2 linked regions of the Drosophila melanogaster genome follow. The protein of the gene in region 1 purifies or fractionates together with the protein of each later gene. This does not show direct contact. Each region holds a gene or a part of one and is shown in the gene's direction. Other genes may lie near its edges. The genes, in order: Chchd2 and P32.

What was found.
Region 2: the proteins of Chchd2 (region 1) and P32 purify together in Drosophila melanogaster (affinity purification with western blotting, with the first as the bait; one study listed by BioGRID). This does not show direct contact.

The regions. Positions count from the first base shown.
Region 1 is NC_004354.4:17,147,224-17,151,267, forward strand, and holds Chchd2 (Coiled-coil-helix-coiled-coil-helix domain containing 2), read left to right. Parts: upstream 1-1,777; 5' UTR 1,778-1,913; coding exon 1,914-1,960; exon of another isoform or gene 1,961-2,253; intron 2,254-2,610; coding exon 2,611-3,076; 3' UTR 3,077-3,424; downstream 3,425-4,044.
Region 2 is NT_033778.4:17,670,620-17,674,471, reverse strand, and holds P32 (P32), read left to right. Parts: upstream 1-1,831; 5' UTR 1,832-1,937; coding exon 1,938-2,142; intron 2,143-2,262; coding exon 2,263-2,607; intron 2,608-2,665; coding exon 2,666-2,907; 3' UTR 2,908-3,163; downstream 3,164-3,852. Other genes in the region: Sema1b (semaphorin 1b), read left to right, coding at 1-162; IBIN (induced by infection), read right to left, coding at 3,247-3,372.

The DNA.
Region 1 (4,044 bases):
ATAAGTTAGTCACGTGTCTGCAAATCGGTATTGGTAATTCTACTGTGGGATGGGATACTTGAGGGCTTTGCGATCTATTACTATCACAGACATTCATTAATGGTTGGTTAATGGTATTTGTTCGTTGATTTTAATAAGCTAACTTCTATTATTGAACATCATTGTATGGCTTGAACATCACCTAGAAGTTTTACAGAAACGTGTTTTTCAGTATTTGTTTATGGAAACATCGTCCCTTTTGTACAAATTTTATACACATACAAATTGTTTATAACTTTAACTAGATTTCGTTTGAAAAATTCTTTTACAAATACAAAACCCAAGAAAAGGCTGTGATAAACTGATACGAATAATTTTTAGAGCCTTAACATTCGTTTTTAAATCTTAAAAACGTCTTAAAACAAAAATAAACTACAAAAAAAGTTCCAAGGTTTATGAAAGACGGAAGTTTCAGTGAAGATTACGTTTAAGTATACAAAAAGGGTCACAATAACTTTTAAATACATATTTAAGTAGTTTTCCTGCGTTAACACGTTTTTTTTAAACTGTAGATGGGCGCTATACGCACACACACACACGCATAAGCACCGTAAAAAACACACGCGCGTTGTTGTTGTTGAATTGCGAGTTTTTAAGGGTTTATACTTTCTTGAAGGTTATCCTTTTGGATAATTGGCTCAATATACGTGGATGTATATTGTATTAAACATATTCTTGCGCTGCAAGCAGATAAAAAAAATATACAAAAAAAAAGGGGAAACAAACACGTGTGACGCACACACACAGTTGCACTCGCGCGCACACACACAAACAAAAAGCCGCCCGTTTTTAACCTCATTTCGGTGGAAATGGCAATATTCCGCAGTTTGCCGCAGTAAATTCACAAAACCCTTAGTATCCACACTAGTTGCCAGCGTTTAGCCGTCTTTTGGCCATCCTCTGGCCACAATCCACACAATTAAACGTTGAAAATCCCTTACTTTGTCACAGAAGAAATCGAGATACGATGTCAGCGCAAAGGCAAACGCCTGAAAAAGAACATGTTACGGCAGTGTGCAGCAACGCCAGAGAGTCCGCTTCCGCCGACACGCACACGGTTGCATTCCGGCTGCCAGGGCTGCGCAACAAGTGAACTATCGAACGGAGATAGGCGGCCATGAGTGGGGATTATTCCTCGACTTAATCACTTTTTCGAACGCGTTTGCTACTTGAGTTGCACATTTATATGTACTTCATAGAAATATACCCTGCTTTCAGGCATACTATTAGTTTTAAGCCACTTTTTTAATGACAAATTTCGAACTTTCTATCGATATGCGGCATTTCGCGGTTTTGCCAGTCACAACGGGTGGCGATAGTTGAAATTCGCATGCCAAATTTTCTTTATTACGGTCACCTTATAGAAATTTTGATATGCTTGAGTATTAAATGTTATTATTTCACTGACTGTAAAATAAAAAGTTATTTAAATCGTAATGCATATATATTTATAACATATAGTTCTTTATTTGATTTTGTAAGTGGAAAAAAATATGTGGTATGTAAAGATTATATATATGGGATATATAAAATACACAAAAATTTTACTATATTACATAGTAAATTTAAGGGTGGTAAAACGTTTTTACACGAATACAATATCCAAATACTTTAGTAAAATATATTTTTAATCATAAGAATTTACCCATATTATTAACTTTTCTGGCACATTCTATATCCGATAGTTTACACCTTATGCCTTAGTATTTTTCGGTATTTTCTCCGGCCACACTGGCAGCAGGCCGAAGTTTCTCGTCCAATTGGGATTATTTCGGAATTTCAGTTACTAGCTCGTCATCAAAACAGCAACAACTGTTGAGAATAAAATTCTTGCGTGAAACCGAATCAATAGAAAAACAAATAAAACAAACAAAATGGTTCGCCGTGGACGTTCAGCCAGTCCCCCGCCCTCCACTCGTCGGTAAGACAGTCGCGAAAAACAAAGAAAATTCGGGGGAAATTGGATAAAGCGCCGGCAGGAAATTCATTTCGTAATCACCGACCAATCAATCGGATGATCTGGCTTTATCTCATGGACAGAATTTCACTTCCGCCGCTTTTTCCGGCCCCCGAAATGGGTTAAGGTTACGTAACCTTAAAAATAAGAGGATTCCCAATAACATGGGATGTTTTATTGGTGCTGTCCTCCTAGCGGAAGACCCGCTAAATCTGGCTACTTATTCAATTACGAAAGTGCTCATAAAATCCATTTTTGTAAGAAATTTACTAAATTTATTGTTCTATGTAAATATATATATATATCCCAGGCCATTGATTTATTAAATTAAAAACATCACATGTTTTTATTTTGCGTTAAAAAAGTAAAATATTCAAATGTTTATACAATTTGGCTTATTATAAAGAAAACAAGAATTTGCATAGGAATATAAAAATATTACCTACTTTTGCAGTAGATATAAAATAAAGTCCTTTAAAAATCCTAGGAATTAGTTAAATTTGTATAGTTCATTGTTTTCAACACAAAGACCCTTCAATTTCGTCACGGAATGATCAACGACACTCCAGAGCAAAGTCCACAATAACAACTGATTGCTTCTGTTTTCCCAACAGCACCGCACCTGTGCAGGCCCGTGCCCCCGCCCCGGCCCCGGCTCCTGTCCAGACACGTGCCCCAGCACCGGCCGCCTCTGCCCCTGTTCCGGCGCCCATGAGCGCTCCTCCCAGTGCCGTCGGCATGCCGGCACCGCAGCAGCCATCGATGTTCCAGCAGATGGCCGCCACCGCTGGAGGCGTGGCCGTGGGCTCAGCCATTGGACACACCGTGGGTCATGGATTGACCTCGCTGTTCAGCGGATCTGGCGACAAGGAGGCCGCTGCTCCCGCTCCGGCGGCAGCCGCTCCTGCCCCCCAGCAGCCATACTACGCCCAGCAGCAGCAGCCCAATGAGCCGCAGGGAGCCTGCGCCTGGGAGCTCAAACAGTTCATCCAGTGCGCCCAGGGTCAGGCGGATCTTACCCTCTGCGAGGGATTCAACGAGGCGCTGCGGCAGTGCAAGCAGAGCCACCATCTCCAGTAGAGGGCCCAGCTCCGGTAGAATATCATCTGGCCAAGCACCGGCGGATGAACGCAGCCGGATGAACCCATCGGATGAACACCTCCGGATGAACTCTGTCCTATCCCTTCGTTTAGTTCTTAATTGTTTAATTGCAAGCATCTGAAAGAAAGCATTGTTTAATTGTAGTGCAAAATGAAATGTTAAATAGAAAATCCCGTTGGCAGCCCAAAACCCTTTCCAAAAAAAAACACAAACAAACAAAACAAAAAAGAAACCAAACCCCACGGGTTGTCAATGTGGGCCAAAACAAAACGAAGTTTCCAAGAGTTTTTATTGTTTAAAATATAAATATATGCATAAGTTAATATCAAGTTATAATTGTTGTCTAAACAAGGAGCCAAGAAAATCTTTGAAATATTCATTTTTCAAGAAGCTTCTAGAAAAAATGCAACTTTCCCTTTTCCTCCTTCTGGAAAATGCAAAATTTGCATTCTATTGTGAAATGTGGCTGCATGCGGTTGCCAAAAATAATTTTGGTGACATTGCACTTCTATAAATAGGAAAATCGATTCATTTCCCTATACATTTGTATGGGAACCCCTTTTCGCCTTTTTCATTGTCACGTGTCTTTCATTTCAGCTTTTCTTGTGTTTTGATTGCAATGCGCTTTGTTTTGTTGAAATTAGGTGGTAAACAAATGGGAAATATGATAAACATGTTTACCTACTTGCTGTTTAGTTATAAATGAAGGGTTATATAGCATATATATTCTATTATATGCTATACACATACAGATGTACATATTCATGGTTAAACGAGCGATTAGTCATAGATCTTATTAATGGTCTTATGAAATATTTGCCGTGGAAACGTAATTTTGAAAAGTTAAGAACTGTTTAAAAGGTTCCCTAAATTACCACCCAAAAAAATATTATGAACTAATCCCTGCGTTCGAGACATTCATGTTTCCGTTTTTATTCAATAATTTT
Region 2 (3,852 bases), on another chromosome or scaffold:
CTGTTAATGGGCTCCAATGCCTATACGACCACACAAAAAACACCTAATCTGGATTTAGAAAAGGATCGCAGTCATGAGTGCAAAAACTCCACGGAACATTTGGAAAAAGAGCTGCCCTGCAAAACGTCAACGCTGACAAAAGTGAAACGCACTTACATCTAGTGGCCTTGTGAGGGCAGCCAACTGCAAAATTAGTCGAATTTCTATACTCTAAAACATATTTTCGTTGTTTATGTTGCTGTTAGTTATAGTAACCCCCCACCCAATTTGCGAATAATGTAAACGACAGTCTCGGATGCGTTTGAAACGCATCCGAAAGATAGGAAGCAGAGCTGTTGCGTCTTTTTTACTTAGCTTGTATTGTAATTTAATTTGATGTAAAATTTGCGTAAGCTTAGTTTCTTTGTCAAAATTTAGTTAAATTTATTGACAACGTAGTGTGCGGGCTGCCGCAGCCTGGAGCTAACCCGAAGCATTCCGCATTCCCCTGACGTCGACCTTTGCTGTCCAAAATAGGAGTGCCGGCTCTTGGCTACGCAGCCCGATTGTGTCGCCCCTTATGTGTACTCTTAATGTATAATCTTTAAGTGCAAATATTAGAGCTGTACAAATTTAATCACATATCATGCATACCGAAATCGAACCCGAAGCGGACCAGCCCCAATTATTTCTCGAAATTCAATCGAATATTCAACAAGTATTTTGTTAGACTGAATGATTAATTATTCTATATGAGTTTGTTTTGTGGAGAACTAACAGAATGCGACAGAGACTTTAAAGCTCTATGCTTTGTGGCTAACAAAAGCGTAAAATTGTATCTAACATAAGCTCTATAAGGAATTGAACATAGAATGTAATTAAAAGTACGAACTAGGCTAAGAAACGAAGAAAACTTCTATGAGGCTGTTTGATAAGAACTGACACCGCAGCCCCCACATCATCAGATGGAAAAACGCACAAGAAAGCGAAAATAAATGAACACTGCAACAACAGCAAGCCTTATAAATAGTATAAAATCGTGTCGAATCTAGGCCTTAACGCTAAACTTGTAAGCTTTGGATGGAAATAATGAGCTTGGTTGGCAATCAACGTAAATCAGCATTTTAATAATTTTATGTTTAATTTCTAAGCTGTTGTCCGTCCCACTAAAGAAGTTGCATAAATACAATGTACAATGGCAATTTTATTTTTAAAACGTGTAAAATGCAATTTTCATCGTAATTAATATATTTTTATACGTATATGTACGCCTAATGTCTAAATCTTAACATAAGAAAGTCTTAAAAATGGAAAATCCCGATAAAAGCTATATATAAAATATTTTTAAATCTTACAAAAAAAAACGTAATGTAATGATTTCTCATATTGTGATAGATTTTATTGAAATTTTAGAAAGATGAAATGATATGCCTTTTGGTTGAAAAACAATGATATATATGACGAACGAGTCTGATTGCATGCATGATAATATTGCGTAGGAATGGGTCTTCCACTCGGAGGATCAAGAACCAGAGAAAACCCTTCATGGTGTTTAGTTTTTATTACTGTGTATGTCCTTGTAATGTGTATATTGTTGTATACATCCGATAAGCAATTCGTAAATCTAATAAAGTCGTCATTTTTTTCATAACTCAATGTGGTCTTTTAATAGGTTCGGATCTATGAAACATTGAATTTTTACAGCAAATATGGTTTGGTTATATTTATTGAAATCAATCATTTTTCCAATAAAGGCTAATTTCAAAATTTGAATAGTTTACGATAAAGCCTTTCGCGCCGAAAAATGATCGATAACTTCTGATATGGCTCTACAATACATCAGCCTCGTGATTTTCTGAATAAGATTCAACGGTCACACCAGGCACTACACTTTTGGCGTGTTGCACATTTCAGTGTTTAATTAAAGTAAAAAGCCCAGGTCGCGGTTATATAACAAAATGAACAGCCTAAGGACAGCAACCATGCGATTTGCCGCTCTGGCCAGCTCCAGTGCCGGATCTCTCGGCAAGCGCGATTTCACCCGCAGCCTGTGGCACATGACCAAAAAGCCGGTGACAGCCGGAGGATCCGATCATGTAACCGTGTTGAATCTCCACAAGCCCAGCATTAATTGCACGTGCGGCTGCAACGTGCACACCAAATGTAAGTTAACTCAACAAATTCTTACATGGGCGGTCCATGCCGCCGGTTACATAACCTCAAACGTTGGGTGACGAAATGTTGACCAAAACACAGAAAATTAAACGCTTTGTTTATATCCAGGTGAGCGGGAACTGGTGGAGTTCCTCACCGAGGAGATAGTGGCCGAGCGCAAGGTTCAAAAGGGCAAGACGGTGCCAAGCACCCTGGATGGATTCGCCGTAAAACTGACCGGCGCCGATGTGGAGCTCACCAAGCAGACGGATAAGGAAAAGGTGGTGGTCAGCTTCAATGTGAACCATACGGTGGACAGCGAGGAGGAGCCCGAAATCAACCCCAATGCTGACAAGCCGGATCTCGGTGAAATGAGAAGCAAGCCCCAGTTCGAGGTGGACATCATAAAGGGCAACTCTACGCTGTCCTTTACCTGCAGCTTCCTTCAAGGCGAAGCTCAGGAGGGCGAGTACAGTGAGTACTTTGACAGAAATCGTTTTGATTCACCGATAACACAGGTTTTACCTTTCAGACGATGTCTTCTCCATTGATGAAATGGCCATCTTCGAGGGCGAGTGGAACGATAAGGTCTACGCCGTCGCAGGCGACGTGCTTGACGGTTACTTGTACGACTTGCTGATCAACTTGCTGGAGGAGAAGGGCATCAGTCAGGAGTTTGCCGAAAAACTGTCGGACCTAGCCACTGCCCATGAGCACACTTCCTACATTGGTCTGCTGGAAAAGCTCTCCAAATTCACTGCCGGTGGCAAGTGAATGTTCGTCCCACTTAATCTTAAAGCATAAAGTTGTGTAGGTTTTTAAGTTTCTATTGTCTGCTGTCGCAGTTTCATCACCTAAAACAGTTTTTATTAGTTGTGTTTTTGGTTTAACTGTGACAGTGAAACTTAGTTTTTAAGCCATAAAACATTCATACATGTTTCAGATAAAACTATAGAAACGGTTGCCAATAATTCACCCTTTTCGGCATCAGCTTCGCTTTGGTTTTTAACAAATACAACGTTAATTCCCTAGTTTTTTTTTTTGTTTATTTTCTTTCTATGGTTGCATCGATTTTTCGTAAAGATTTTCCTGTGGGTTGAGTTTCGTGATCATTTAGAACTGCCGGAAATATGGCCTGGGATCGTAGTCACTTGGTCGGTATCCTCCCCAGTCCTCGTGGTTCTTGCAGGCGGCGCAGATGAGGAGAGCGAGGAGCACGAGGATTGGCAGCAGTTGCATCTTGATTAACGGCAAGTTAACTTTAGATTGTGGTGCTGCAGCTTTTAATGCTCCTCTTTATAGGTGAGATTGCCTCACCTTATCGTTGAAATAGTGACCTTTCTCTTGGGGAAGTACTCCGATCTGTTTATTGGGCGATGGGATTTACCATTAATGTACGACCTATATGTGTTATTGTTTCACAATAAGCAGGATTATCAGCGTGGAGGCCATGTAATGTCATACTTTGTCATTAAGATGGATTTTATATATTTCGTTAAAAAGCTTTTTTTTATACGACCAATAATAAGAACTGCGACCATTACCTAATCATAGGCTTGTATATACTTCTAAGAAACTCAAAGACGGATTCTGTCTGAATATAACATTTTTTATAGTTCGCTACTTGAACTTATTTATAAAACATTCACTAAATAATTTACATAAGGATACGAGTCATGGAACTAAACCAAAGCTGCTTCTGGTACTTGGTAGACCTAG